Pelodiscus sinensis: one gene and its partners. The protein of the gene in region 2 interacts with the protein of the main gene of each other region in a pairwise test. Links are inferred from orthologs where the notes say so. Each region holds a gene or a part of one and is shown on either strand. Other genes may lie near its edges. The genes, in order: DTNB, CEP63, TBC1D15 and CCDC14.

Region 1 (8,365 bases), on a different chromosome or scaffold from region 2:
CACAATCCCACCAGCTGTGAGCTCTGCAGCCCCACCCTTTCCAGGCCCCAGAGGCTTCCCAGGCCTACCTGCGGGCTTGGCAGCACCATCATGTGGACTCCAGCAGCCTCACCAGCTCCCCAGCCCACTGTGAGCTCTGCTGCCTCCCTGCCCTGCCAGCTCTGGCATCCCTGCCAATTACCCAGTCTTGCCAGCTGCGGACTCTGGTGCCCTATGGGCTACACTACCCCAATCAGCCAGCTCTGGTCCAAGCTGCCAGTAACCTCTGTTCTGAGGCTCTCTAGCCCAGCAACATCTGTGGTCCAGCCGAACCAGAGAGTCCCAGATCACAAAGGTTCAACCTGTGTAATGAAAGGCTAAGATATGGCGTCAATGTAAAATAAAAACATAAATGAAAATCAAAATAAATAAGTGCTTTTTTATACTGATGAGAAGGAAGGAAATATGAACTCTTACCGACGGTTATAATCAAGGCCTGATTTACAATGAGATACATTAGAGAGACAAAATGAAGACAACAGAATTATATATTGGCACACCTGAATTATGTGGCCTTTGCCACACCCAAAACAAATTTCAGATAAAATTTGCTCTTCTCTACTGGATTACTGCAAAGCAAGTAATTTTTTGAATATGTACATTTCAGAGTACACACACAGCTACAAATGTATAATTTTCTGTCCAACATCCTGAAAGACTGTATACTATAGTAGCAGACACTAAAACCATACCATGTTTGCATAACATCTTGCCACTTGTTTTGTTCATTAATGAAAATATACTTCTCACATTGTACTTGGTTTTTAATGTAAGCAAGATATAATGAGTAAAGATTTCAAAAGAGCGCTAGGACAGATTAAATTATATCAAACATCTATAAATTTTCAAAGTGATGTTCTGAGTATTAGAATAGTAGTTTATTAATAGAGTTGATGTGACAGATCTATTTGGAGTTATGAAATGAGTTGATTGTGAGGTGTTACAGGCTTATGCAAAGATTGAATGTTTCTTTTTTTAGTTAAACTAACAATTAACAGGCAAAACAAACAACCAATGGTCTGGTAGCACTTTATAGACTAACAAAAAATATAGATGGCTGTGCCCACGAAACCTCATGATACCAGCTATACGTTTTGTTAGTCTATAAAGTGTCTATAAAGTCTATAAAGTTAGTCTACCAGACCATTTGTTGTTTTCTAAGTTTATCCTGTACAGACTAACTCGGCTACCCCCAAGTATAAAGGATGTAAGAAGTTAGCTAAAACAGTAACTCTTTAACCACTGAAAATCTTAGCAGCTACAAGCACTGTGGGCTCTGTCTTGCTCTATTCAATATGTTTCTTATTTAAGCTTTTAGGGGGCTGCACCTTTGCTCGCTACGCTCGCTTACCCGCTTTCACTTTGCTGAGAAAGCCCATTGATGCAGGTAACGTGATGACATCATTCTGTCGCCCAGCAGAAACATTCTGTCATCTGGCAGGAAAAAACTTTTTTATATAGAGAGATACTGCAGAGCCCACAACAAAGCCTCCCTGGGAGTTGGGCTTCCAGCCCCTGCCACCTCCACTCCCAGGGACACGGATGCCACAGTGAAGCTGCCTCCCTGGAAGCCAGGTGAGTTTAATAGATAGCATTAACTGATAAGCAAGGTTTGGTCCTGGTGTGATAAAAATTCTATTGACTACTTGATTACTAAAATAACCTAATTTTAGCATCCCTAACCTAAACTGCTCTTGCTGCAGATCAACGTCATTACTTCTTGCCCTACTTTCATTGGATAGGGATGATAACTGATCACTGTTCTCTTCCTAACAGTCCTTAATCCATTTGAAAATTATTACAATGCATCCCCTCAGTTCTCTTTTCTGAAGATAAAGCATGCAGAGTTTGTAAAATCTTATTTCCTAACACGTGACGTGCAGAACAGGACTCTGTACTACAGTGGAGGCACAACGAGTAGAGCAAGACAGTTAACTTCAGTGATGGACATACTACACTTGTAATCGTGAAAAAGTTGGGGAGTACTAATATATCATATTGCAGACTCATTCAACTGCTGATCCACTGTAATCCCTAGTTCCTTTTCAGCAGTATCACCATCTGTGGCCCAACTTCCCTATATCTGGGCTCTGATGTTGCCGGACCAGAGAGTCTCAGTTAAGGGAGGTACAACCGTTATTTTTCACAAGTTGATCTCTCACTTAGATGTACTTTGTATATTTACTGTGTGTTTGTCAAAAATAACATCAAATGTAAGTTACAAAAAGCTGGTTAAATAATGTAATGTATGTATCGGTTCAAGTACAGAGTCCTGTGTTCAATACCGCACAATATTAAATCAATCGTGATTACCTAGATTACACGAAAACTCTCTGGGGCAATTTCTACTTTTGACCCTAATTTCTTTTTGAATCTTTAAAAAAGTTACCTACAAAAAAAAGGGGGGGAGGGGGAATTTGCTGTTTATTTCTTTATCCTGTATAAAAGCGACCTGAGCTTTTTTTCCCCCTGTTTGCTTTTCACAGTCGGAGTCTCAGAAATGTCACAACCTAGTTTCGTTTCCGCTCTTTGCAATGGCCTCTCACAGGCGCGCTGGTGTCTAACGGGGGGGGGGGGGGGGGCTCTCCGAAAGCACCTCGGTAACAGCACTGCCGCTCCAGCGCCAATACCTGCTCACACCGGGGCACACGGCCGAGGAGCCCGCGCCCCGCGGGACACACGGGGCAGCCCACCCCCGTAGGGCCCGCTTGGCCGCTGCCGAGCACCCGCAGCAGGGACACAAAGGCGGGGAGGCGCGCGCGCTGGCGGAGCGGGGCCCGCAGCGAGCTCCCTGCCCCGAGGCGCGCCCGGGCGGAAGACCGGCAGCGGCGGCCGAGGAGAAGGGCTCGGCCCCGGGAGCCCGGCGAGCGACCCCGCACGGCGCTGGGAGAGCAGCCCCGCCCCGCCCCGCCCGGCGCACTCACTTGTCCGGGGGCGAGGCCGCTCCTGGGGAAGGCGGCGGCAGGCGGCGGCCCCGGCTCCGCTCCCGGCTCCCGAGCGCCTCCGCGCCGGCCTCGCGAGGCCTTCTCCGACCAATCCGAGGCGGCCTCCGCGCGCGCGCTCAAACCGCCCCGCGAGCCCCTCCCCCGGCCGCCTCGCGGAAGCGGTTTCGGACGAGCGAGCGCTTCAGCCAATCGGCAAACGGCTCTGTCCGGCGACTCGCGCCGCGCCCTCGCGCTTCTGCCGCCAATCAGCGAGTGCCGCTCCGCGCCGCGCCCTCGCGCTTCTGCCGCCAATCAGCGAGCGCCGCTCCGCGCCGCGCCCCCTCCCTCCGCCAACGGGCCGCTGCCTGCAGCCCCGAGCGCGCGCGCGTCGCCTCAGGTGCGCGGCCGAGCCTCCCTGGGCCCGCGGCTCCCGCCCCCCCCGCCCCGCCCCGCAGTGGAGCGGCCCGCGCTCCCCTCAGGCTCGCAACTCAGCCAGGGCACGGACGGGCTGGATGGGGCACAGGTAACGGGGGGGGGCTGGATGGGGCACAGATAGCGGGGGTGGGGCACGGGGGGGTATGGGGGGGGGTGGGGGGGTGGCGGGATGGATGGAGGCAGTTTAGGGGACAGACAACAGGTCCAGCGGAGGGCAACCAAAATGATTCGGGGTCTGGAGCACATGACCTACGAGGAGAGGCTGAGGGACTTGGGGCTGTTTAGTCTGCAGAAGCGAAGAGTGAGGGGGGATTTGAGAGCAGCCTTCAACTTCCTGAAGGGAGGTTCCAAAGAGGATGGAGAAAGGCTGTTCTCAGTAGTGACGGGTGGCAGAACAAGGAGCAATGGTCTCAAGTTGTGGTGGGAGAGGTCCAGGTTGGATATTAGGAAAAACTCTTTCCCTAGGAGGGTGGTGAAGCACTGGAATGGGTTATCTAGGGAAGTAGTGGAGTCTCCATCCCTAGAGGTGTTTAAGTGTCGGCTTGACAAACCCCTGGCCGGGTTGATTTAGTTGGGATTGGTCCTGCCTAGAGCAGGGGGCTGGACTTGCTGACCTGAGATCTCTTCTGGCTCTAGGATTATATGAACGGACAGGTGTAGGGGGGATAAAGGAGGTGTATGGGGACGGATGGATAAATAGCAGGGAGATAGATGGAGGTGTGGGGCAATGAATAGATCGAGGGGGTGTATGGGGATGGACGGATCGAGAGGGTGTGGGATGCATGGCAATGGATGGATAGCTAGAGGAGGTGTGGGGGGATAGATACATAGGGTGTGTATGAATGGACAGATAGATGCCAGTCCCATGATTTTTGAGCACTTACAGTTTGCTGTACTCTGGTTAGGCGTTGGCAGAGTTCTCTGTCAATATGCCTCAAAGCCCCTCTAATCACATGATCTCCGGCCTGGACAGGGCACCAGCAGAGGCAAGGAAGGAACATTCCCAGGAAGCAGCAACCTGAGGCAGAACCGTAAATACAGGAATGTTGGAGCATGACGACTCAATTGAGCCACAAATTCAGCAATGATAGTAAATTAGTAGAAGAGCCTTTTTTCCCCCCTTGTCTGGGCTAGAGATCATCATTATCAGTCAGTGAAGCGGACTCTTCAGCATCACCAGCTATTACTCCAGAGCAACAGCTTTACTATGGTTAATTGACAGCCACTATTTAAAATACTACTATTCTTAGCTCTACAATCCATATGGTGACCAACAGCACCTTGACATTTGTTATGCTTCACAGAGATGAAGGATAGGCTTAGTGGTTAATTTGGGGGACACTTGAGCCAGGATTTCCCAAGATACAGGGCTCCTCATCTCCTCTCCATCAGCCATTAACAAAATCGCCTGTTTCTTGTAACCTAATTTACCTGTACTTTGTGTTCAAAGTATTGGTCTGATCATCCGCACATTGGCATGTTAGAATTTACCTCAGATAGAAGACAGTACACACTATCGCTTTGGAGAAGCAATATTGGAAAAAGCTTAGGAGAATACGCCTACCTTTTTAAATGATCCCATTTTAAAAAAGAGCTACACTGAAGAAGTCTCAGAGTCTAGTAAACCATGTAATCTCCACCTTCTGAAGAGGCCAGTTGGGCATTATAGCCATACTAAGGGGAAGCAATTTAGCAGAGCATGCACTATGATTCCGAATAACTGGACAATCTAATGTCATATTTTGGTGTCTCAGGCAGACAACATTTGGTTTGCATACACATCTTGGAGTAGTTATCACTTTTTTTTGTTTCTAAATTTGACTCCTACCTAAAACATCTTACAGCCAGCACAATTTCCATTTCAGAATTAAAAATCTTGCTGTCCACAAATGTAATACATAGCACTTATTTGGTTTTTTTAAGAATCATATCTATTTAACAAAATATAGAGAGTCAGGTGATATCAAATAGAATTATTGAAAACAAAGGGTTACATATAAAACAACAAGAATCGGGACTTAATTCAAAAGCTATTCTCTTCTTAAGTTTACCTCACCCTTGGCAATCCCAGATATATCAGAGCAGTCCTTTGATCTTTATTAATAAACCATGCATCCTGCTGCTGTGTATTTTTTTCTTGACTTCAAAGTCTCATCAGTGTCTCTGCCTTGCTTAGCTGGTAACTTAGTATAGTGAGAAACAGACATGAGGCATGTCACTTTTGTGACCTGCCTTTAACCTTCAAGGCTTTAAAACATAAGTTCCAGTAGGGATACATTGCTTTTAAAATACTGTTGTTTCATACATTTCACAATAATGGTGATGACCACTGGCTATTGGCTCTCAGTAAAGACCTTATATGTCACCCTTTGGTGAACTATTCTATAGCTATTGGACTCAGGATTCCTGTCTGACATATGTGCATTTTATGTCTTCAGCCTGTTGGTGCCATGGGCTGCCTAGGTCATACCCTCTGAAGTCAAGGTATGGTAAGCCATGTGACAAGGTGGCATGCAGAGTTCCCTGGTATAACAGTGAGGACAGAAACTCAATTTACAATATCTCTTGAAGGGAATAAGATCCTTACTTATCCATGAAGTTATAATCCTGGGCTCTGAAAAATCCAAACATGCACCCTGCGAGTACTAGGGATGTAAAATCCCAGTTAATTAGTTAACCAGTTAAATGTTAGACATTTAACTGGTTAAATGACTAAAAGTGGGATCTGGGCTATAGACTGCATCAGCCCAGCTGGAGCAGCCCTGACCTTGTGGGGCTTCTGCACCCAACCCCACAATGGGGCTGCTGCCAGCTCCCAGGCTCCACTGGAGTAGGCCCTGCCTGTGGGGCACCTGGGCTACCCAATGACAGAGGCTGCTTTGAATGACAGCAGTTCCTGTCTGCAGAGGGGCTTCCTGCAGGGCTGGAGCAGCCCCCTGCCCTTGGCTGCAGCCAACACCTGTTATTGGTTAACTGGAACTGGTAAGTATCATCCATTTAGAGTAACAGAATCCCAAAGCTGGAAGAGACCTCAAGAGGTCATTGAGTCCAGCCCCCTGCCCAAAGCAGGACCAACCCTAAGTAAATCATCCCAGCCAGGACTTTGTCAAGCTGGCACTTAAAAACCTCTAGGGATGGAGATTCCACCCCCTGCCTAAGTAACCCATTCCAGTGCTTCATCACCCTCCTAGTGAAACAGTGTTTCCTAACTTCCAACCTAGACTTCTTCCACTGTAACTTGAGACCATTGCTCCTTGTTCTGCCATTTGTCACTACCGAGAACAGCCTTTCTCCATTCTCTTCGGAAGTTCCCTGCAGGAAGTTGAAGGCTGCTATCAAATCCCCCCTCACTCTTCTGCAGACTAAACAAGCCCAAATCCCTCAGCGTCTCCTCCTAGGGTTTCCCTCCACTGGACTTTCTCCAATGTGTCCACATCCTTTCTGTAACGAGGGGAGCAGGGGGGAGAACTGGATGCAATACTCCAGATGTGGCCTCCCCTGTGACAAATAAAGGGGAATAATCACTTCCCTGGGTCTGCTGGCAATGCTCCTCCTAATGCACCTCAATATGCAATTCGCCTTCTTGGCTACAAGGGCACACGGTCTCCATCTTCTCATCCACTGTAATCCCCAGGACTTTTTCTGCTGAACTGCTACTTAGCCAGTCGGTCCCCAGCCTGTAAAAATGCTTGGGATTCTTCCATTCCAAGTGCAGGACTCTGCATTTGTCCTTGTTGACCCTCATCACATTTCTTTTGGCCCAATCCTCCAATTTGTCTAGGTTACTCTGGACCCTATACCTATCCTCCAATTTATCTACCTCTCCCCCTTAGCATTATCCACAAACTTGCTGAGAGTGCAATCCATCCCCTCTTCCAGGTCATTAATAAAGATGTTGAACAAAACCAGCCCTAAAACCAGTCCTTGGGGCACTCCTCTTGAAACCAACCGCCAACCAGACATCAAGCTGTTGATCACTTCCCATTGGGCCCAACAATCTAGCCAGCTTTCTATCCACCTTACAGTCCATTATCCAATCCATACTTCCTTAACTTGCAGGCAAGAATATTGTGGGAGACTGTATCAAAAGCTGTGCTAAAGTCAAGATACATCACATCCCCTGACTTAGGGCGATGCTTAGTGATTAACCTTTCACATCCTTAGCTAGTACATCCCAATTTGGTGTCAAATGAACCGCTTTTGTGATCCACCAAGGCCTATATAATAATTCATTTGTGCGCATATGAGTCCCACTGATAGCCCCAGCACAATTTGGGAAGCCCATTTTCTCAGAGTCAGTAATTATTTCAGGACCATTGTTTATACCTACTGCTTCTGCAGGAACAATGTTCCCAATTGCTTCACAATCCTCCACAACCCCCACAGCTGATTTGCCCACACCAAAGTGTTTTGCCATGGACCTGTAGCAATCTGGGGTTGCCAGCTTCCAAATGGCTATAGCAAGCCACTTCTGGATTGGTATGGCATCCCTCATGCACATGTCCTGGTACTGGAAGGCCAGTAAAGCAGTTCATTATTCTGATCTAGGCATGTCTGTTTCTTAATGAAAAAGTTTCGGACCAACTGCTGGTCATCCCAGGGTCACATGATAATTTGATCCCACTAGTATCTGCTTGTGGCCCTGCTTCAGAAGTGCCAGTGTACTTATGGGAAATCTGCAAAAATGTCAGACGGTATCAGCCAGGTTTGCAGATGATGTGTCTTCATTCTTAGGACTGATACTGCTGCCAGAATAGCCACCTGTGTCTCAGAAATTGTTTTACCTTGTCATTGTCCGTTTAATGGTTTGCACTGAGGAAAACAGGTGCCTGTGTAATTATTTAATCTCTATTTTTTTCCTGAGAGCACTGGTCAGAATGCATAGGAGAAAAAAGATGCCATTCTCAGATAAGAAATATGAAGAAAAAAATACCTTCAGACACAAAGCTACTATTTACAGCTGCCTC
Region 2 (7,454 bases):
TTCAAAATATGTCAGGTGGCCTCCCTTTCATTCGTCACTTGCATCAGCTTGCAAAATCCATTACTTTTTCTCTTTGACATCAATGGAAAATACACAATTCTTACAAACAAAACAGAAAATGCCAACTCTTCAGACCCCATAAGTAAGAAGTTCCTAACAAAACAACTAGGGTGCGTCTAGACTGGCAAGATTTTGCGCAAAAGCAATTGCTTTTGCGCAAAAACAATTGCTTTTGCGCAAAAACTTGCCAGATGTCTACACTGGCCGCTTGAATTTGCGCAAGAGCACTGACTTTGTAATGTACAAAATCAGTGTTTCTTGCGCAAATACTTTCACGCTCCCGCTCGGGAAAAAGCCCTCTTGCGCAAAAATACTTGTGCAAGACGGCCAGTGTAGACAGGGAAGAACTGTTTTACGCAAAAAAGCCCCGATGGCTAAAATGGCGATCGGGGCTTACTTGCACAAAATCGCGTCTAGACTGACAACGGATGCTTTTGCACAAAAACACTTTTTGCGCAAAAGCATCCGTGCCAATCTAGACGCACTTTTGCGGAAATACTTTTATCAGAAAAACTTTTCTGTTAAAAGTATTTCCGCAAAATCATGCCAGTCTAGACGCAGCCCTAGTTTTTCAATGACAGATAGAAAAGAGCCTTCAAGCATCTTTCCCTCCTCTACCCCCCATCTCCTGAAGTGGTCCTGGATTTGTGCTTAGAAAAGTGTATTGATGCTGAAAGCATTTGTATTGACCTGCCACAGGTGTTTCTAGCTTTGAAAGGTAACGAGCTACTGGACCTTATAATTACATCACTGTATCATATTGCTTGTTTTTTTCTTTTCTGACACTTGATATGGTTCTAGTAGCAGACATTTTACAAAACTACAGAGTGCACTTCCAAGCTTGCAGAAGGCATAAAGCTAAAAATTAATGCTTTAACAATACAAGACGACAGCTGCTAAAGCAGCGTCAGATATTAAGCATTCAATAAAATGCTTAAGTATAACCCCAACTGTAAGTGCAAGAAGCATCGCTGAAGTGAATTTTAGGCTTGAGTACACAGGATGATATTCAGAATAATGGAATGTGTCCGTGTACACTAAGGATGTTAAATAATGATTAATTTACTAGTTGAGTAGTCGACGGAATTTCCATCAACTACTCGATAGGCACTTCTGCATTCCTCCTTTGAAAGTTTTACCACTGAAAAGAGGGAGGGTGTCTCCCAACTTTCCAAGGCCATAAAATAGACTTCATTTCTAGATCTCCTGAAGTGCAAGACATCGGACCTTACAATGGCAATTATTAAAGCAGGTTCTGAAATGTGCCCTGAAATAGGGATGTCAACATGTAGCCGAATACATGATTAATCGATAAACCTCTGCTGTATCAAAGGCAGCAGCGCAAGGCAACAGGTGGGAGCTGATCTGCATCGAGAGCCAATTTTTAAATCGGCTCCCCTCACAGACCAGCTCCCGCCTGCCACCCCATGCTGCTGCCTCCGATAGAGAAGGAACAGCGTGGGGCAGCAGGAGGGCGCCCCGTGAGTGGGGCCGGAGCACACTGGCTGCTGACCCTGCCCCCGGGGACAATCAAATAGTTGTGTAACTACTAAAATTTGATGCAGTTACACGACTAATCAATTAATCACTATCTAACATCCGTACCCCTAAAGTCAGCTAACTGGGCCAAGCATGGAGGAACCCACAGCCTCTCCACTGAGAATGCTCAGCCCCCTAGTATCCAAAATTAACAAAACCAAGCTCAGCCCCCTAGTATCCAAAATTAACAAAACCAAGCTCAACTTTTAAGTCAAACCCAAGGCAGAAAGTAAGTCTTTAAAAGTCCCAGATACTACTGGGATATTGAACTGTTACTCTGAAACACTGCCTGCACTGAGCCTTCCTGAACCAGTGCTGAAAATGACTTAAGTGCTACTGTTGCACAACTTAGTGCACTATGGAGTTTTGCATCTGGTATCAGGCACTGTCAGAGACCAGACTAGATGGAAGATGGACTGAAAAGGTGTCTCTACCAGTAAGGGAACTTCCCAGGTTCTTGGGGGGTTTGTCCATAGTCTGAACACAACATTCTTTTCCTACCAATTCAGTTTTTGTTCATAATTTGGGGCCCACAGAAATACCTGCAGTTCCAGGGTGACAAGGGCACCCAAAGCACAGTTTATAGACTTACTCATCAACACGTTTTGTGATAAAGGTGCAAATTCCAGTCCTAAGGTGTTGAAACATGTGCCTTCCCCACATCCCTGCAGTGAAGATACAGCCCCAGTGGGGTGGGGGCACAGAGCCTTGCATGAACAGCCACAGCCAGACTCCAGGCTACAGTCACCTCATCACACAGACTCACAGCCAGGTAAAGTCAGACATTGACCCAGTGTGACCCAGCCCCACAGGAACTGTCACGGGCTCACAGACGGACAAAAGGCTACAGTCCCCTCGTCACCCAGGAACAGTCAGACAAGGCCAGCCACAGTCAGACCCCCATCTACAGTCACCTCACCAGGCAGACAGACAGACAGACAGCAATAATATCAGGGATGGTCTAGACAGTACTGGGTCCTGCCATGAGGGCAGGGGACTGGACTCGATGACTCTCGAGGTCCCTTCCAGCCCTAGTATTCTATGATTCTATAAACAGCACCGCACAGGCGGGCAGCAGGCGACAGCCCCTTGTCTGCCAGGGACAGTCAGACACGGCGGCCAACCCCCGGCTACAGACACCTCGCCACACAGAAAGAGTGAGAGCTTCACAGCAGGGTACAGTCTGACCCAGCCCCACAGGAACAGCCACGGGCTCACAGACAGACAAAAGGCTACAGTCCCCTGGTCACCCAGGGACAGTCAGACACGGCGGCCAACCCCCGGCTACAGTCACCTCGCCACACAGAAAGGGCGAGAGCTTCACAGCAGGGTACAGTCTGACCCAGCCCCACAGGAACAGCCACGGGCTCACAGCCGGACAAAAAGCTACAGCCACCCAGGGACAGTCAGACAAGGCCAACAACAGTCAGAGCCCCGCCTCCAGTCACCTCAGCAGACAGCCAGCGCCGCACAGGCGACAGCCCCTTGTCCGCCAGGCACAGTCAGACAGGGTGAGGGTGAGCGCCTCACGGCGGGCACAGTCCGACCCAGGACACGCCCCCGCCGAGCCGTTACCTCCGGGCCGGCCTCTCTCTCCTCGGCGGACTCGCGCCGCCGCCTCTCTATGGTTGGCGCGGCCTAGAGTCGCCGGTCACGTGGTCCGCTGCTAGGGCCGCGGGGCGGGACGGGGCTGGCGCGCGCGCCGGGTGTCAGGTGCGGGGCTAGGCCCAGAGGCGGGAGGGGCCGGCCCGCGCGGTGGGGGGGGAAGGGCTGCCCCCGCCCCGGCCCCCTGCTGGGGCCCCTCAGCCCCGCGCGGGGGGGCTGCTCCCCGGGCCCGGAGGCGGGTGGGGGAGGGGACGCTGTGCCGGGTTGCTACTGCGCATGCCCGGCGGGGCGGAGCCTGGCGGGCGGTGCCCCGCCCCTGGGCGGGGCGTCTCCATGGCGACCGGGTAGCTGCGCAGCGCTGGTGCGGGGGGTGCGCTGGAGATGCTCTGAGGGGTCACTGCGGGGGGTGCCCTGGGCGCAGGAGCACAGCCGGCCTTCGCCTGTGTGGGGCCGACACCGCCGGGGACACAACAGGTGTTTGCGGTGGGGCCGGGCCGTGGCCCGTCACCCGTGGGAGGCGATGTCAGCCCCTTTCTGAACAGGCAGGGAAACAATCGGCCACAGGTCTGAGAGAGTCTGTCTGTTTCTACAGCGTGAGAGCGAGGGCCAGCGAAGCCAGGACGCCGCTTCCACTGAGCACAGCTTAAAGCAAGGGCAGGGGCGGGTTGTGCAGGACAATGGGATGCGCCTGGAATGGGATTGACTCTCATACCACCGTACTGAGAAGAGAGAGAATCACCAGGCAGGTCCCAGCCCTACCCCGCAGACACCTGTTAGGGAGGGCAAGGGGAGGCGCATCTTCCCCCAGATTAATACGAGGACATTGCTGGCTCCCTTTGGGGAGCACGGGGAAAGTGCACAGTGTGCTGCATTCCTCCCTCTGGCTGGGGAGGACGGGGCAGACGAGCTGTGCACTTTGCTCTCGTTCTCTGGCAGGGACAAGAAGAGGAAGAGCAAGTGACCCTGGTACAAAACTCAAGGAGCTTCAGCCTCTTTGCTTACCCCGCTACACACACACACACACCACAGTCCCCTGGCCAGATCCCCTCCCTACCCTCCCACTCTGACTCTTACCCACCCCACTTTCCCAGTTCCCTGCCCTGAACACCTTAGGAACCTGAGCAAAGCCACGTACATGTGCTAGTTTGTTGCATGGACAAAAACTGAATTGGTAGGAAAAGAAACATGTTCATGCGTCTCATAGGGCAATACAAACAATGGAGGGTATTAATAACTATGAAAAACAACTGTGCCATGCCCTACTGACTGTAAAACAGCCATTAAGCTATTTAAGAAAGGAGTCATGGCCAGGGCAAGCATAGAATCTAAGCTCCATCTTTTTGGGTTCTAGATATCAAGGATAATTTCTGCTTTATGTCGCAGATCTATCTGCATGTAAATTGTGCAAAGATGGACAGTGAAGTGCAGAGGGATGGAAGAATCCTGGATTTGATCGATGATGCATGGAGAGAAGATAAATTACCATACGAGGATGTAGCAATACCTTTGGTAGGTGAACACAGTAAGCTGCTTATAAGCCTATATTATGTGTCTACCCCCTTTAACCTCCTAACAGAGGCATGGCATAGGAAATGTGCCTTACAGTTCTGACAGTTGTATGAATGATGCTCCCTCACTCCAGGGGCCAGCTTCCCATTTATTTTATGCGGGGTGGTGGATTTCTTCCAGCTCTGCATATCTCCGGCTTGGTGGAGGAATAAGTGCTTCTCTCCCTGCAGCTGACTGCCTCGCTTTGGAAGGAGAAAATGCTTTCCCATAATCTAGGCGAGCTACCTGTTTCTTTGGAGGGTGGAATGTTTCTTTCTATCCTCCCCTCATACTCCTAGTACCACCAGTCTGTGAGGAGCGGGTTCCAGGACTAACCTCTTCCTCAGCTTTTTCAAGTGCTATGCTGCTGGCCCGAGTGGAGAGGGGAGGACCCAAAGACTTCCCCTTCACTTATATACTTCCAGTACTGCTAGCCAAGAGTGAAGAAGGGAAAACTCCTAGGTCCACTTAGCAACTATCTTTGATCTGTCACAGATTACTTGATAGCACACCCGGATCTTCACAGCCCCTTGTCTCTAGGCATAGATACAGCCTTGTTATTAACGGAAACGTCTCATTTAAGCCTGATAAATCTTGAGATTTTCTCCTTAATTAACTGGATAAAGCCCTTCCTCGTCCACTCTATTTTGACAGGCTGCCTTTCATGTTGAGACACTTCTCAGCCAGCCATGATTTTTGCTCACGGAGTGTATGTACTTCAGGCTTTTGTACCTGCATCACCTTTTGCAAAGATCCCTTCTTAGAGTAGTGATGGACTTCCAAATTGTAGGCCACTCATCCTGCTAGATTTCTTCCCTCCCACGTTTGCATACTCAAAACCTTCAAGCCTCTCTTTATTCTTACATTAGACAAAGTTTGTGAGAAGATTACTTGAAGGGAATTAGTCTCCTATCACAGACATATGCATAGCAACTCACTATCTTCACTTAGCCTCTGCAGGTGTACTCCAGCGTTAGGGAATGATCCGATCTCCACCGTGCGGAACTGTGGTTCTCTTTTTAAGTTCTGGAAGCCCAAACTCTCCTACCTGTTGGAGTTTATTGGGATGTGCCTCGTTAAGCTGGCTGAATACAGAAACCTCTTCAGTGCTGGTACTTGTTTCATCTTATGGTCAATTAACTAGATAGCGTCACTCCTTTTTGGGTAGTGGGTGGAGGGAGGAACTATGTAACTACTCTTGGAGACTGAGGCGCATGCCCAGAGTGGAGGAAGAGTTCCTTACAGCATACTTCTGAGGTTTCCTGGGCTTGCCCTGCAGATGCTCATACTAACAGTAGAAAAGGCCTGAGTGTGGACCTAAAGACCCCATGAGACCTGAGCCATTGACATAGGATTGGCTGTTGGCAAGCTAAAAACCAGAATGGCAGCTTTGGGATATTCCTTCATTCCCAAGTCAAGAAGGAGCTGACTAAAAAGTGGGTGGTGCTTAGAGCAATGGGCAGTAGGTGACCACCAGTAGCTTGAGCCCTAACTGCTGCTACTGCCTTCAGAGTCTGAGCTGAAGCCCATTGAAAACAATGAAAAAACTCCCATTGGCTTCAGCAAGCTTTAGATCAGATCCTCCGTGAACAAATTCCTAGAGTTTGGGGAGCTCTTTTGTCTCTCGCTAGGATGCCAAGACCCAGGAACGAGATGATATTCTGGGGAATTACGCATAGTCTAGCAACTGCACAGTTATGATAGCACTCGCAGAGAAAGATGGTTAAGAGAAAAACAAAACAGTTACGCTATTGCTCATCCTGACAAGCTGTAGACTCATCAGTTTTCTGTTCCTAAGGCAAAAGCACCTCGGGAGTGCTTTCCAGTGTTCTGTATGGCACTAGCACAGCCTCGCCTCTTTAGAGCCATTGACCTCAAATTCCAGACAGAGTGCTGCTTATTTTGCTCTTTGTTACCTTCTGTATGACAGAAAAGAGAGATTTGAGAGAATGCCTTATTTAAAATTCGGACATAGAATACTTACATATTTGGACTTTATTATGGGAGAAAAAGGTTGCACACAGGCAATAAACTATTTGCGTTGATATCTACTTATTCTATGTTTACCAGACATTACAATCATTTATTTTGCTGTGTACGCTTGGGTCAGCCAGCCGTCAAGTTAGGAAATCAACTCCTAAAACGAAGTACAGAATTCTTGTGGAAATGGAATGCCCATATTTGGATTTGTTGATATTTTTAGTGGAAGCAGTATGTACAGTACATGCTCTTCTGATGCTCCCTTCAGCCTTAGTTGCAGATGTGTGCATGTACCAGTATGAAATGATGCTAAGCTGATCTTGTCAGGGTGCTTTGAAGGTATAGAATGCATTGCCCCTTTTGTGTTCTCAGAACGAACTTCCTGAACCAGAACAAGACAATGGTGGTACAACAGAGTCCGTAAAAGAACAAGAAATGAAATGGACAGACTTGGCTTTGCAATATCTTCATGAGAATGTTCCCCCAACAGGAAACTAGTAAATCAGTGTTATTTCATGGAATGATTTCAATGCAAGAAGACGGTTTCCAGCAGATCCTCACCATCTCCTGTCTCACTGCTTTAACGAGTCAAAACTTTTAAAAAACCTTCTGGTCTCAAACAGCTGTTGTATTCCACAAAAGCACATTACAGTTTAAAAGGCCCCATGTGACTGATGTAAAATAACTATGACATACCCTAAAACTGAGAGGAGGTGGCCGAG
Region 3 (7,941 bases), on a different chromosome or scaffold from region 2:
GCTCCAGTCCCACAGTGGGCCCATTGCAAACAGGGGGGAGTCTGTGTGCCCCACAGGTATGGGCTGCTCCACTGGAGGCTGGGAGCAAGCAGAGTAAACCCTAGTCCCAGGACTGGGATTTGGGCACAAGTGGCAGATGGCTGGAAGCCAGTAGCCAGACCCAGCATGGGGTTGGGGTCTGCTACAGCTGGCTGGAGCAGTCCCTAGCTCAGACCCCACTTAGTTAGTTAAATGTTAGGATGATCCAACATTTAACTGGTTGACTAACTGATTAACCAGAATTTTATATCCCTAGTGATGAGGCCTGCTGCCACGCCCTGCCAGGCATGCACGCGCACACACACACACAAACAAACCTTCAGCTCAGGTTGCTTGGGGGAGAAGGCTTCTGAACTGGTTTGGGACTTCAAGGAAAGAGCAGAGCCTTGGGGTGGGAGGATTGTCCTGGGGCACTGGGGGCAGTTTTCCCAGGACATTTGCCAGCCCCTGGATGACCCTGCCTGAACACCTTGCAAACCCAAATTCCCTCTCAGAGACTTGAGGGAAGCAGGGGAAGAGCTTGATTGGAGAACGGGTGTGGGGTCAGGACATACTGGGCACCACCAAATTTTTGCAAACATGCCGCACCTGTTTGCAACAATGGCATACAGTTTATCCAGGCAGGAAAATTGGCAACTGTAACCCATATTTTTGTGTGTATTTGCCTTTCCTACAGAATCTAAGGTTTTTGCAGGTAAAAGTGGGATAAAAATAAATGAAATGATGTGGGAGATTAATAAAATAGTTCTATGCAGAGCTCTACCATGAATCAAAGGCTTAATGAATGCACCTAATGAGTGCTCATTTAACCTTTGACTCATGGTAGAGCCCTGCATATATTGAATTATTAGATTTATCTTAAACTATGTTCTATTTACAGACCACACAACATCCTAAAGCAGGAGTCAGCAATCTACGTCTCGCAACAGAATCAAATATGGCTCTTTTGGCAGATGATGGGCTAAGTTCCCTGTAGGGGTGCACACAAAAAATTTCCCCACGGGTGCACACAAAAAATTTTAATCCTGTCCATTTCCTCACACAGCAGCTGTCACCCTCCCTGGATATGGAAAGTAAGCTGTTGCTGCTGGTGGGCTTGGTGGGAGAGTGGGGGGCCAAGGCCACGTGATGGCTGCTCGGCTGCTCCCAGGGCAGGGCTGCATGGCACACAGTTGCCCCATGTGCTGGGGCTAGAGCTACGGAAGGACTGGTGCCAAGGCCACATAGCTGCTGCCCCAGGGGCTGGGGACAGCCGTACCACAGCCCCGGCCCCAGTGCCGGACTGAGCCATACTTGCGCCCTGGGCAGTAGGTGCACAGCGCGTGCACGGCCCATCCTCTGGGCACACAGCGCCCCTTACCATTTCAATCAGGTGCCCCCCATAGGTTGGCGCCCCGGGAAGTTGCCTGGCTAGCCCCCTCTTAATCTGGCCCTGACAGTCCCAGGAGCTGCTACAGTCCCCACTTCAGGAACAGCTGGGCAGCCATCATGCAGCCCTGGCCCCAGCTCCAGCTCAGGGGAAAGGTTCAATGGCTCCAGTGTCTCCCTCCTGCCTTCCCGGGGGTTCTGTGGAGAGTCGCTTCCCACCGCCCCACACCACAGGGCTGGTGGGAACCTGGCTGGTAAGTGCTCGGGTTCCTTGAGGTCTGCAAAGGACAAGGGCACCCTGCGGGGAGCACATGTGCCCAGCTGGGCCCCAGCACGGTGGTAAGGTCAAACCTGTAGTTCTGTCTCCTCCTCCCCCCCACCCCCCAGGCCCTGTAGCGGCCCAGCCCCATCTCTCAGCAGTGCTCTCCAGAGCCTTATCTCCTCTGCCCACTCTTTTCCTTTTCTCTCCTTTGTGTCACCTCCGCTCTGTTGCCACCTGGGGGGGTCCCATGATTCCCTGCAAGTCCGTTTGTGGCTGCAGAGCACTGGCCAAAGGGAGTCTAAGTAAAGAGTTTCATTTATACTACTATCAATCATCATGTCAATTATCAAGAATATTAAGCTGTGTATTTTCAGGCACGGCCATTCTGATACGGCTTTTTGTTGACCACTGTTCTGAACTGTGATGCAGTTTGGCTCTTTGGTGTGGAAAGGTTGCCGATCCCTGTCCAAAAGTGTGGAAAGATAGATACATTCGCTGCACTCCAGCCAAAGCCTGGCAAGAAGGCTGCTGCACACCAGGCCAAGGACAACGGGACAGCTCCACTGCTTCACCAAAGCGCTGGGCTGGCCGGCGGCCGGGCGTTCTCCAGCGACGCACGCCCCGCCGAGTGGAGCGGAGCTGCCTCAGCCAGACTAAGGCAGAGCCGACCAACAACCCGCCGCCCCCAGCACCGGGGCTGCGGCACGACAGGCTGGTGGGAACGGGCAGCACGACGCCGCTTCGCCGGGCCAGGCACCCGATGTCACCAGCTCCCTGGGAGGGGCGAAGGCGGCCGCTGCCTGTCACCGAGCGCCTCCCTTCCCCCACTGAGGAGTCCCCCGAGAACCAGCGCAGGGATCCCATCCCCTTCTGCCCCCCGCCGCTCCACGGGGACACTCGGCGCCAGGGCCTGAGGGGCCCCCTCCCCAGCAGCAGAAGGGATCTCCCCTGTCCCCTGCCAGCCAGGCTACCTAGCCCTGCTCCCCCGTGCAGCCCAGCGCTCTGGGGGGCCTGGCCTCGCTCCCGCCGCCCAGGACAGACAGAGACACGCGGCAGCACCAGGGCCCGGCCGGGCCTTCCCGTCGGCACAGGCCGCGCCCGCTCAGGGCAGCGGGCGCCTCCCTACCCCCACACCCTCCGCTCGTTACCTTTCCGCAGGCAGGAGCCGCCATTTTCCCTACTAGTGTTTATGATGACGTTGCGCGCTTCACGTGCTTCCAACAGCTTCACAACAACCTCGGCCCCCCGCCTCTCGCGAGCCCCACGGCCGAGAGTGCGGCGCATGCGCTGCAGGCCGGTCGCCTCGTGGCGGCGGAGAAACCCCCAATGTGGCGGACGGTTGTCACGTGCTCGCCCTCACTCAGCAGCTGCCGGCGCGTGCTGTACCCAGCCAGGCCCTGTGGCGTCGCCCCTCCCCTACACCCCGCTACTGACCGGCCGGCCTCCAGACCTCACGTGCAAGGGTTTAACCCCCCCCCCAGGGTGTGAGGGGCCAGGGGGCGGTGCTGCTCCAGTTCCCTTCCACTGGTGCGTGGCCTGAGCTAGGCTCCTGTGTCCAAAGGGGCCTGTGTGCTGCTGTTCTTCAGGACCAGACTCAGAGGAGTAGCCATGTTAGTCTCTAAGGCTACATCTACACTGGCATGATTTTCTGAAAATGCTTTTAACGGAAAAGTTTTCCATTAAAAGCATTTTCGGAAAAGCACGTCTAGATTGGCAGGATGCTTTTGCGCAAAAGCACTTTTTGCGGAAAAGCGTCCGTGGCCAATCTAGATGCGCTTTTCTGCAAAAAAAGCCCCGATCGCCATTTTCACGATCAGGGCTTTTTTGCAGAAAACAGTACTGTGCTGTCTATACTGGGCCCTTTTGTGCAAAAGTCTTTCAGAAAAAGACTTTTGCCCGAACAGGAGCAGCACAGTATTTCCGGAAAAGCACTGACGATCTTACATGAGATCGTCAGTGCTTTTGCAGAAATTCAAGCGGCCAGTGTAGACAGCTGGCAAGTTTTTCCGCAAAAGCAGATGATTTTGCGGAAAAACTTGCCAGTCTAGACACAGCCTAGCTGTTTAAAAAGAACACACAGGAGGAGTGCACTATGGCAGACTAACACATTTGGGCTGCATAAGCTTTGGTGTGTAAAAACCACTCCGTGCAACAGACAAAGTGCTTTTTAGCCCCAAAACCTTATGCCCAAATAAATCTCCTGACTTGCAGGCTACGTCTACACTGGCCCCTTTTCCGGAAGGGGCATGTAAATTTCTCTAGTCGTCGTAGGGAAATCCGCGGGGGATTTAAATATCCCCCGCGGCATTTAAATAAAAATGTCCGCCGCTTTTTTCCGGCTTTTAAAAAAGCCGGAAAAGAGCGTCTAGACTGGCCCCGATCCTCCGGAAAAAGTGCCCTTTTCCGGAGGCTCTTATTCTTACTTCAAAGTAGGAATAAGAGCCTCCGGAAAAGGGCACTTTTTCTGGAGGATCGGGGCCAGTCTAGACGCTCTTTTCCGGCTTTTTTAAAAGCCGGAAAAAAGCGGCGGACATTTTTATTTAAATGCCGCGGGGGATATTTAAATCCCCCGCGGATTTCCCTACAACGACTCGTGAAATTTACATGCCCCTTCCGGAAGAGGGGCCAGTGTAGACGTAGCCTTCATGGTTTTTCTAAGATGATAGCTAATGGCATTCTCATTGGTTGATGTACTTCTTTGCAAGTTGGCCTGGGATATGTAAATTCCATCTATTCAGGAGCTGCCTGAGGCCAGCTGTGGCAGCTGGTGCCCCAGGCAGAAGACGCTCTCGGTGCCCCCACCTGCATGGCTGTCAATGGCCATGATGTAATCATTGGGTGCCCAGGCGCCCTGTGACGTCATCATCGGGAGCCCCGGGCCAACAGCAACGTAGGCGCATGGGCTGCCCCTGCATCTATTGCCCCACCAGTTAGGGGATCCCATTGCCTCAAGTCATCAAGCATTTCCCGCACATTACAGAGAGTTGCAGTTCTTTGTAGCAGGAGGCAATGGCTCTGCACACGTGTATTGCCACAGTCCACATGGTGGATTTTCCAACTCCAAACTGATTCACAACTGACTGGTAGCAGCAGTGGTTTAGCCACCCGTGGGCCTGATTGGGCCATAGCCCACCCACTGATGATCCAGGCCCTCCCAGTGGCATTTCAGCTTTGCTCCTGCCCCAGCACTGCCTGCCCTGCTCAGCACTCCCCCTGCTGAGGAGCAGGGTCAGGGTGCAGGGGCTTGCCCAGTTCCACCGCTCAGTGATCCTTCTGAGGTCTGGGGTTGCAGTACAGGGCTTGTCCCCACTCTTTGGGATTGATCCTGCCTAGAGCAGGGGGCTGGACTTGTTGACCTTCTGAGGTCTCTTCCAGTTCTATAGTTCTATGTTTCTATGATTCGATGATTCTTTCCTTCCAGTGCTCTAGCCATGGAGCCTGGTTGAGGACTTGACCTGCTCCTCCCGCCTGGCAGACTTGCCAGAGAGCCGTATTGGCTTGTAAGCCCCCACCCTGCTCCCCAGCACAAGCGCCAGGTATGTGAAGCAGGCCAAGTTATTTTGGAATAACTTTCCTAGCATCTACACAGCCAAACTGCTATTTCAAAATAAATTTGAAATAACGGAGTGCTTATTTCAAATTTGGTAAACCTCATTCTATGAGGAATAGCACCAAATTCGAAATAGCTATTTCAAAATAAGTGCTGAGTAGACACTTATTTTGAAATAGGGGGCCTCCAGCCTTCCCAGGGTTCACTGGTGGCCACTCCAGCCTCAACCAAGAACACTCTTTTCCCTCCCCTCTCCCGTCCCTGGAGCCCTTTAAGGGGTAGACTCTGGCCACAGTGCCTGTGCCAGCTCCAAGCCTGCTAGCCCAGAGCCAGCAGTCACTGCCCCTGACCCAGTGACCCCAAAACATGAGCCAGCAAGCCACTGGCAGCCAGCCCTCCACTGCTCCCCAGGAGCAGTCTGCCAGCTCCCAGGAGCCTGCCAGGGCCCAGAGAGGGCGGGCGCCTTCCTGGTCCAGGGTGGAGATCATGGACTTTATTCAGGTTTGGAGGGGGATGCCCCCAATGTCCATGATCTCCACACTAGACGGAGGAACGTGGCCATCTATGGCAGGATAGCTGCCAGCCTGGCCACCAAAGGCCATATGCAAACCCAGGAGCAGATTCGCATGAAAATCAAGTTGGTCCGGCTAGACCCCCCTCCACCCGTAAGCCCTGAGCTTCCCCTCCCCATTCTTCCCCTTGCTTCCCCCTTCCAGCTTCCTCCTCTCAGGTTTCCCCCTCCCCTCTCCAACCCTCTTTTCTCCCCTCTCCCGCCTCCTTTCCCCAGTCTCACCGGAGTTTCATCCCCCCTCTAGCTTTGTTAAATAAAGACAGTTTGTGTTTATGAAAAAACATGTATTTTATTTGACATAAGGAAAAGGAGCTGGGGCGGGGAGTAAGTGGAAGGAAATTAGGGAGGAATGATGCACAAGCCCCCAGTGGGGCAGACCAGGGAGATTGTTAGTGCTCCTCAGGGTGGAAGCTCTCCCGCAGGGCCTCCTGGATACTGACTGCCCCCCAATGGACCTCCCGGATAGCAGCCTGCTGAAAGTCCAGCCAGGCTCGCAACAACACGTCCAAGAGAAGCACCAGAGTGCACGGGGAAGCTCTGGCTCCATGTTGCAGAGTGCTGTAGTGTCCTGAGTGAGGGCAACCAGAGCACGCAGAGACAAAATGCTTTGCTGTCCCTCATCGAGGTAGGCAAGCAAGTAGGGAACCAGCTGTTCAGGAGGGGTCCCTTTAAGCACAGGCTTCAGACAGCCTCAGGCAGCAGCCACACAAAGTAAATCCTGACCTGATGCCCTGCCAGACCTGGTTCCAGCCAGCCTTAAGTGCGATTCAGTATCCACTCAGTGTGGACGCGCTATTTCAAAATAACAAAACTCTACTTCGAAATGCATTTTGTGTGTAGACACGTTATTTTGAAATAAGCTATTTCGAATTAACCATTTCGGAATAGCTTATTTCGAAATAACGCTGTAGTGTAAACATACCCTTAGAGACTAACAAAAATATATATAGTATCATGAGCTTTTGTAGGCACAATGCTGCCTCTGTGCCTGTTGCTCCACTCATCTGAAGAAGTGGGTTGTGCCCACGAAAGCTCATGATACTGTATGTTTTTGGGTTGTTGGGGTTTTTGTTTTTGTGCTACTGGTTGTTTTTTAAGTTTTTTTAAGTTACAGACTAACATGGCTACCTCCTCTGACACTCTTATTCTGAAGACATGTCCAACCACCGTGGATTTAGTGATTGGAAGCACATGTACCAGACCTGCTCCAGATACAAGAGCATTTAAGCACATACAATGGCATTCACTAAATACACCAACTACAAACAGTGTCAGTTATCAGGCTGTGGACATATTTTGAACCAGTTCAACAAAAAAAGCAATGAACACACACATAGTAGATACAAATCAGGGCACATTAAAATGGTGCTTGACATAGTACTGATCAGTGCTAACAGCAAATATCTTGAAGTTGGCACAAGCTGCTGCGGTGACAGAAGGTTGGGATAGTCCTCTCTCCCCGGGGCAGCCAGCGTACTGAACCCATCATCCCCAGTCACACCCTCGAGCAATGATTTAAATGGAGTGTGTACATTTTCATTTTATTTTCCGTAAAAAAAAATTAATCGAGTTAAGGGCCTGACCAATGCCAGGTAAATCTTCTAGTAATATACAGCAGTAGATGCAGACATCATAAGGTACAAATCAGGTGACGGGTACATGCTTACAGGAATATTAGGAGAATAAATACGCATTCCCTTGAGTGTTTCTCTCTCCATCAATTTAGGAATTAAAAGTGGTTAAAATGGTAAAATAAAAGATAAGTTTAGAGATTAAGTTTAGATTATTTAATTGTAATACCAATACGTTTAGCAATTATAATAAAACTAACAGCATATAAATAAGGGATACTAACAAACCAATATGTTTTAATACTAATAGTGTAGAAATAGTAATGTGATAAATAGTAAGATAGTGATCATGTCTTTTTACACAAATAGGGAAAGAAAGAGAGATGAAAATAATAGAAAGGCAGAAAGGAGAGAAAGAAAAAGAGAGATCGAATGGCAGGCAATAGATAGTTTGAAGATTTGCCTAATTTAAACGAAGAAGAGATAATAGGCTTCTTGGAGCTGCCAAAGGAAGAAGTGGAAAATACGACAGGTATTAGGTAGTATAGAAGAAGATAGTGGTGATCAGGGTGTAGAGGCA
Region 4 (7,351 bases), on a different chromosome or scaffold from region 2:
CCTTGCTGCCTCTATAAAATAGAGGCAGCAAAAGGGGAGGGGGTACTTCAAAGTGGCAGTGCCCCAAGACAGCAGCTGCACAGTCAATCCCGAGATCAGCTGTGCAGCGGGCTGCCCCTTTAAAATGCCACCTCTGCACGATTCAAAGGAGCAGTTGCTGTTGAGCCCAGGGTCAGCTGTGGACTCCCCAGCTGACCCCAGGCTCCCCATAGCATTTCCCCAGGACCCGGATCATCTGGGGAGTCCCCAGCTGATCTCAGGTTCACAGGGAGCCCAGGCTCCCCTGTCGCCCCTTTGAATCACATGGAGGCAGCAATTTCAAAGGGACAGCAGCTGCACTGCTGATCAGCTATGCAGCGGCTGCCCCTTTGAAACTGCTGCCTCCGTACAATTAAAAGGGGCAGGAGGGGAGCCTGGGCTCAGCTGGGGCGCTTGTACATTTCAAAGGAGGAATGCGGAAGTGCCTATCGACTAGTTGACTAGTCAATAGAAATTCCATCGACTAATCAATTAACCATATTTTAACATCCTTAGCATGATACAAAAACCTGACATGAGTAGGCAAACTAGTGATGTGAACAAGGGAATGTTGTTCCCGCAATTTTCTCCTCTTAAGACTGACACAAAAAGGCAGATTGCAACCCCTGACTTTCAAACCTGGGAGAATCTAAATGATTGAGAGCGCAAGTAAGTCGGAAAGAGATTTCAGATGTCCTCTTGTAACACTTTGCAAAACTCACAAGACAGTAAAATGTATTTTGGGAATGAATCCACAACAAAAGATAAAGCTAAGCAGCTGCTGACAATTGCCTTTGAGGAAATAAAACCAAATGGTCATAGGAGAGCACGAGGGAGAATTGCCACCAGCCCCACCAACCAGGAGAGTCACAGAGATTCACCTAAGCCCTATTCTTGGCGAGACTGAGTCTATCATTCACTCCCATGTGGGAAGTCCTCAGGGCTGGCCCGAGCCATTTTGGGAGCCAGCAAGCATGGGTGCCCGGGGTGCACGGTGTATGCGCGGGCCTGACCCCGGTGCGCACGGCACATGTGCTGCCCAGCCGCTGGCGGGCAGCTCAGGGTCTGCTACCGGGGCGCACAGCGCATGCGCTGCCTGGCCCAGCAACTGCTGCTAGCGCGCAGCACCTGACCATGCAGGGTCCCGCAGCCGTGGGGGGAAGGGCGCTGCTGGTTGGAGCCACGGGGATAGGGGTGTGGGGGGCACTGCGGGAGCCGGGCGTGCGGCGCCTGATGGCAGCCCGGGCGGCAGCCCGGGCAGCTGCCCGGCTCGCCCACCCCTTAGTCCGGCCCTGGGAGTCCTGCATCCCACATCTAGGCTCCCAGTAAAAACCCCACCCGTCCTTAGTAACCACTATGTAGTAGACTACATGATTAACAAATAAACCTGGGCTTATTCGTTAATCCTATCAACTACACATACTACCCTCCCCCTTGCTTTTAAGATGGTTCCCCACAAGAACCAGATCCTGAAGAGTACCCCTCCCTCCCCCTGCACGCACTGGTGACTCTTATAGAGAGGCAGCAGTTCAGAAGGGGAAGGGGCAGGCAGCAGCCAGTACACACAGAAAGCCAGCTTTCAAGCTGGCTTCCCATGCGGATCAGATCCCACGGAGCCGTCTTCCCCTCACCACCATGCTGCTGCCTCTCCCTCAGAGGCATCATTGCAGGTTGGGGCTAGGGGGTGGAAGGCAGGAATGGATACATGTGGGGAGCCAGCTTTTATTCCAGTTCTCTGCCTGTGTTAGCTCTGCAAAGCCACCTGTCCCCCTTGCTTCCTCCCAAAGAGGTAGTGGGAAGCAGGCAGGGAAGGCTGCAACAGAGCAGCCTCTGTCCACAGTAGGCCTGGGGTCACCATGGACAGAGGGCTGCTGCCTTTAATAGAGAGGCAGACGCACGGGATGGCAGAGGGCTCCCCAGGAGTGGGGCCAAGAGCACAAAGGCTGCCAACCCCGCACCTAGGGACTATTGTGTACCTGCTAAAATGGATGCGGTTACACAATTATTAAATTGCTATCTAACATACCTAGTAACCAGCAGAGGAGAGTTCCCCGGACTTGTAAGTCCAGTTACCTGCAAGTCCTCCTGAAGAGAGTCCCCGAACTGTGAGTCACCTCCCTCAGAGATCCCACCCCTGACCTAGGATAAGGATGTCAAGGAGCGGTTATTTGGCTAATCGTGTAGTTGATACAATTTGTATAGACTACATCCGCGTTTCTCAAACTGTGGGTCCCGACCCCCTGGGGGGGGGGTCGTGAGCAACTTAGAGGGGGGGGGGGTCTCGGTATCACAAAGTTTGAGAACCCCTGGACTACATGATTGGTTGATAAGAGAAGGTGCTTTGCAGAGCTGGGGGAGGGGAGAGATAGCTCCTGGAGCTGGCACAAGCTAGGACCAAGCAGCTTACGCCGTCTCCGGACTGCTGCAGCTCACCATTTTAAAGGTAGCAAGAGCCAGCCAGCTCTTACTACTTTTAAAATGCAGCACCGCAGCAGGCCCGGACCAGCACAACCTGGGACTGCTCAGTCCCAGCTCGCGCTGGGTCCAGCAGCCTGTTTGTGGCAGCCCAGGCTGGGCTGCTGCCAGAGCAGTCCCCCCAAAAAACCCTCCCAGGCTGCCTCTGATGGGGGGCGGGGGAGAAAAGCAGGTAGCACTGCAGAGATGGCGCTGGGCCAGGGGAACCAGCTTTTCAGTCAGCTCCTCCCACCACCAGCTTCTGTCCCCCCCCCCCCTTATCATAGAGGTGGAGGGGGGGCTACTGGCTTACACCCCTAACCTGGCAGCCCACTCACCTCTCCGCCCAAGCCCCGCCCCTTGAGTCCACTTCCCGCCCCAGGGAGCCCAGTCACCTCCCAACCCCCCTCAGTCAGTGACCCCCCCTCCCGAGAGCTCCGCCCCCCGCCCCGGGAGCCCCGGAAAAAGGACGCTCTTTACTCCCTGCCCCAGGCCCCCAGAGAGACCCTCACACCGCCGCTCCAGGCGGCCAACCCCCCCTCACAGAGGAACGCCCCAGAGCGCGCGTACCCCGCGCCCCGCCCCCACCTCTGGTACCTTGTGATGCCGGAGGGTGCCCGGCCTCGCCATAGCTCCCTCTGTCCCCAGCCTGGGGGCGGAGCTAGCCCGCCAACCGCCGGGGCACAAGCGCGCGGCCAATCCCAGCCCCACTTGGCGGACAGGCCCAACGCCTGCGACAGCCCCGCCCCTACCGGCTCCCTCCCTCCTTGCAAGCCGCCGGCGGCAGCCCGAGCGGGCTGAGCGATAGGGCGGAGTCAGGAAACCAGGGTCGGGATTGGTGGAAACCGCGGCCCAGTCAACCAATCGTAGAAGAGAAGCCGGGCTAGCCCAGTGAGTCAGGAGGTTCCTCGCCTTCAGCCGGCCGGAGCCGCCCGCTCTGCGCGGAGAGCAGGGAATCGGCCGGATTCTGCTCCGTGACCGCCGGCTGCCCGCTTCAGGAGTCAGTCCCGTCTCCAAACCACTGGGTCCCCGCTCAGTCATTCCCCCGCAATGCTCCAGTTCCCCTCCGGGAATCCCCCAGCCCTGTGCAGCTGTCACGCCTAGCAAACCGCTGCCTGTTCCGCTCGCAGCCGAGAACAAGCTGCACTGCTGAACTGGCCCTTTTTTGGGTGCGCAGCAGAATGGGGAAGGGGAGAGGAGCGAAGATTTGTGACCCTCTGTGAGAACATAAGAATGGCCAGACTGGGTCAGAACAAAGGTCCTTCTAGCTCAGGGATGGGCAATAAACAGCCTGCAGGCTTGACACCATTCACAGGTGCTGTGTCTAGACTGGCCAGTTTTTCCGGAAAATCAGCCGCTTTTTCCGGAAAAACTTGCCAGCTGTCTACACTGGCCGCTTGAATTTCCGCAAAAAGCACTGTCTTCCTACTGTAAAAAATCAGTGCTTTTTGCGGAAGTACTATGCTGCTCCCGTTCGGGCAAAAGTCCCTTTTGCGCAAAAGGGCCAGTGTAGACAGCTGTGATTTGTTTCGCGCAAAAAAAGCCCCGATCGCGAAAATGGCGATCGGGGCTTTTTTTGCGCAAAAGTGCGTCTAGATTGGCACGGACGCTTTTCCGCAAAAAGTGCTTTTGAGGAAAAGTGTCCGTGACAATCTAGACGCTCTTTTCCAAAAATGCTTTTAATGGAAAACTTTTCCGTTAAAAGCATTTCCGGAAAATCATGCCAGTCTAGACGTAGCCAGGCTGTTTTATTACCTACCCCAAATTTAGCCTAATCTGTCTGCCAACCGTGGCCAGTGCCAGGTGCTTCAGAGGGAACGAACAGGACAGGGAATCATCAAATGATCTATCCCTGGTCGCCCATGCCTAGCTTCTGGCAACAGCTTGTCATGATTTACAGGACTCATACTCTCACTTCATACAATCTTTGAGACCAACCCCTTTCAGTATGACATCCCTTCTCTGGGAGCCACTGTTTCTTGGCTAGTAAGCTGTAGGCCCCCCGCCTCTTGGAACTGTACCTCTCTGACTCTTCAGCACAGCTACCTCTCACGTGAGCTGTCTCAGGAAGGCCACTTGTTCTGGACCCCCATAAGCAGAGAGAACAATGCAATGAGTGTAAAGCAGAAGGGTTCCCTGAGCAGCTGAATTAGAGCCGGCTCAAGCTACGGGCTGACCGGGTGATAGCCTGGGGCGCCCGATTGTAAGGAGCGCCGTGCAGTGCTGCTGAGCCGGGTGGGGCCAGGGCCGCGCAAGTGCTGCGCTCCCGGGGTGCAAGAATGAGCTGCGCGCCTGGGGGCAGCACCACGCGCCCAAGTCCCGGGGCCTAAGGATGGATCGGGCTGGCTCTGATCTGAATCCAGCTCAGGAAACTCTCTAGACTCAAAGCCTAGCAGCCCTCAGCATAATACATCTAGGTCTCTCCTGCATTTGGGGGGATGGGAGGTTCTGGCTGCTCTCTCTCCCCAGTCCAGAAGCCCCCTCCTTTCAGCTGATCATCCTATATCATTCATCACCTCCAATTACTCTGCCCCTGTCCTTCATCTATGGTCCAGGGTAAACATGTTGCCTGGACCTCCTCCTTTCCTTTCTTTGTTCTCCATTGGCTGGAACCAGCTGTTCAGATCATCTCTCCACAGTCCTTTTGCCTCCCACTGGCCACCCTCTTCGGAGTTAGACATGCATTAAGCACTACTTGATCTGGGTCCATCACCTCGGCTGTCATCACGTTAGCCCCATATAGGCAATGAGCCCACTGCTTTGGTTACAGTAACCGAGTCAGTGTGAGCCACCTTTCCCACATGCAGGGCCACTGTTCCACTCAGATCTAAGGATCTGGCTATGGACAAGCAGGTAACCCGAGCTTCATAGATCTTCGCTTTTGCTACTTTCAAAGGGAAAATTCCCTCCTCACTGTCTGAGCCCTTTACATGATCATTGGCTCCTGCCCTCTCCAACTTTGGATCGCTGGATCCTGTCTTAAAGAGACATGGTCATTTTCTAGTAGTACGGCAAAGCTCACATGCTGTAGGACACCAGCCCCACCCCTGCCATCCTTCCTGTGTCTGCATTGGACTCTGAGCCATAGGCAAGATGAATGCCTTTATGTTTGGGACCTTCCTGCAAATTATATAGTCTCTCAGCATCCAAGTTGCACCACACTGACAAGAGTTCTTTCAGCCCTGGAATCTCTTCACTCTGTGAATGTTTCCCTGTTGATCACCACCTTCTGCTCCCATTGTAGATCAGAGGTGCCAATGCCCAGCTTGGAGTGGAAGTCCGATGCCATTCCTCCCTCTTACCAGTTGGATCACTGGAGAGGGGCAAGCCCCTGTGTTCACACCTCTCTCTGCAGCAGGAGTGCCAGGCATGTGGAGAGGGGCAAGCTTCCATGCGCCGAACTCTACTCCCTGGCAGGAGCACTGGGCAAACGAAGCTGGACAAACTCCCATGCTCCAACCTCACTCCCTGGCAGAAGTGCCAGGCAGAGTGAGGAAATCTCCCATTCCCATGCTATTGCAGGAATGCTAGGGGGGCCAGCACAGATGGGGGTGCACATTTTTCAACCCCCCCATTCTTCTAGGGCCCCTGGCAAGAGAGCTTATCACCCGCTAGAGGACTGGAGGAGGGGAGAGGTGGCCCTGATGCCTCCTACCCAACCTCCTTTGATTGCTTGCCCACCCTAAATTGGGGTCCACCCAAGTGTTGCAGCTTGCTTACGCTACTGCTCCAGGTCTTCTGTTTATAAACTTGTTTGCCAGTATATCTGGTCCACTAACCACATCTTAAGGATGTTATACAGCTGCTCCGATCCTACCAGATATATGTCCTCTGCAGAAGTGGACACCCATACTTTTTCCCCACTTGCAGGGATACTCTCCCAGCAAGGAGCTTATCTCCTTATAGGTGATGCCCAGGGTCTTGACGGCACGCTGAAATCTTTTCTGATCTGTCTCACATGTCAGTTCAAACAGCTGTGTCTACATTGGCGCGATCTTGCGCCAAAGCGGCCGCTTTTGCGCAAAAACACGCTGCCTGTCTACACTGGCGGGGAGTTCTTGCGCGAGAACACTGACGTTCTAATGTGTGAAATCAGTGCTTCTTGCGCAAGAACTATGATGCTCCCGCTCAGGAATAAGCCCTCTTGCGCAACTGTTCTTGCACAAGACGCCAGTGTAGACAGGCAACATGAATTTCTTGTGCAAGAAAGCCCAATGGCTAAAATGGCCATCGGAGTTTTCTTGCGCAAGAGAGCGTCTACACTGGCATGGATGCTCTTGGGCAAAAGCACATCTCTTCTGCAAAGGCACATGCCAGTGTAGACGCTCTCTTGCGCAAATACTTTAACGCAATAACTCTTGCGTTAAAGAGTATTTGCACAAGATCATGCCAATGTAGACGTAGCCAAGGAGTAACACCTCTTTGTTCCCAGTTTCTGAACACCTTTATGACCTTGGAGTCACTCAGGAGAGTTAAACAGCGGAGCTTGCCATGGGCTCAGTTGAGTTCAAATCAGAAGCCTTCTCAAAAGCAGTTCTGGAGACATTACTATCCCTCCCCCATTACACTGGGGCACACTTTGGATTCTAGGCTTCCTGCCAAACTGGCATCTTGGCATCCTTCCCCACATGCCCATGGCAAGTCCTCTTGACCTGCCTCTCCTCCAACTCCAGTTCATGTTTCCAGTGCTCCAAATAATTTATTTTCCATCTCTTCATCTCCATGGGAAGGAACCTGATTTGGGATGTCTCTCTGCTGAGTGGGGAATTGGTTCTGGTGGACCCCTGCTACTGCCTCAAGTACCCCCTGCTATTCCCCAGCTCTCTGGGCAGTCTAGAAGCTTTGCTGGGATCTGGAACTTGCTTCTCAGACTGGTTAT

The links.
Region 1: the proteins of CEP63 (region 2) and DTNB interact in binary tests that used the Homo sapiens proteins (3 or more experiments, as listed by UniProt). The two-hybrid records come from large-scale screens. The link is inferred for Pelodiscus sinensis from reciprocal best matches to the Homo sapiens genes CEP63 and DTNB.
Region 3: the proteins of CEP63 (region 2) and TBC1D15 interact in binary tests that used the Homo sapiens proteins (3 or more experiments, as listed by UniProt). The two-hybrid records come from large-scale screens. The link is inferred for Pelodiscus sinensis from reciprocal best matches to the Homo sapiens genes CEP63 and TBC1D15.
Region 4: the proteins of CEP63 (region 2) and CCDC14 interact in binary tests that used the Homo sapiens proteins (3 or more experiments, as listed by UniProt). The link is inferred for Pelodiscus sinensis from reciprocal best matches to the Homo sapiens genes CEP63 and CCDC14.

The regions. Positions count from the first base shown.
Region 1 is NC_134713.1:428,653-437,017, reverse strand, and holds the start of DTNB (dystrobrevin beta), read right to left. Parts: upstream 3,118-8,365; 5' UTR 2,964-3,117; intron 1,474-2,963; exon of another isoform or gene 1,391-1,473; intron 1-1,390.
Region 2 is NC_134720.1:1,059,777-1,067,230, reverse strand, and holds the start of CEP63 (centrosomal protein of 63 kDa), read right to left. Parts: upstream 3,329-7,454; 5' UTR 3,048-3,328; intron 1-3,047. Other genes in the region: ANAPC13 (anaphase-promoting complex subunit 13), read left to right, coding at 4,615-4,713, 7,105-7,230. UniProt on the Homo sapiens protein: Required for normal spindle assembly.
Region 3 is NC_134711.1:65,588,548-65,596,488, reverse strand, and holds the start of TBC1D15 (TBC1 domain family member 15), read right to left. Parts: upstream 3,022-7,941; 5' UTR 2,842-3,021; coding exon 2,818-2,841; intron 1-2,817. UniProt on the Homo sapiens protein: Acts as a GTPase activating protein for RAB7A. Does not act on RAB4, RAB5 or RAB6.
Region 4 is NC_134717.1:10,227,006-10,234,356, forward strand, and holds the start of CCDC14 (coiled-coil domain-containing protein 14), read right to left. Parts: upstream 3,240-7,351; 5' UTR 3,103-3,239; coding exon 3,070-3,102; intron 2,214-3,069; exon of another isoform or gene 2,045-2,213; intron 1-2,044. UniProt on the Homo sapiens protein: Negatively regulates centriole duplication. Negatively regulates CEP63 and CDK2 centrosomal localization.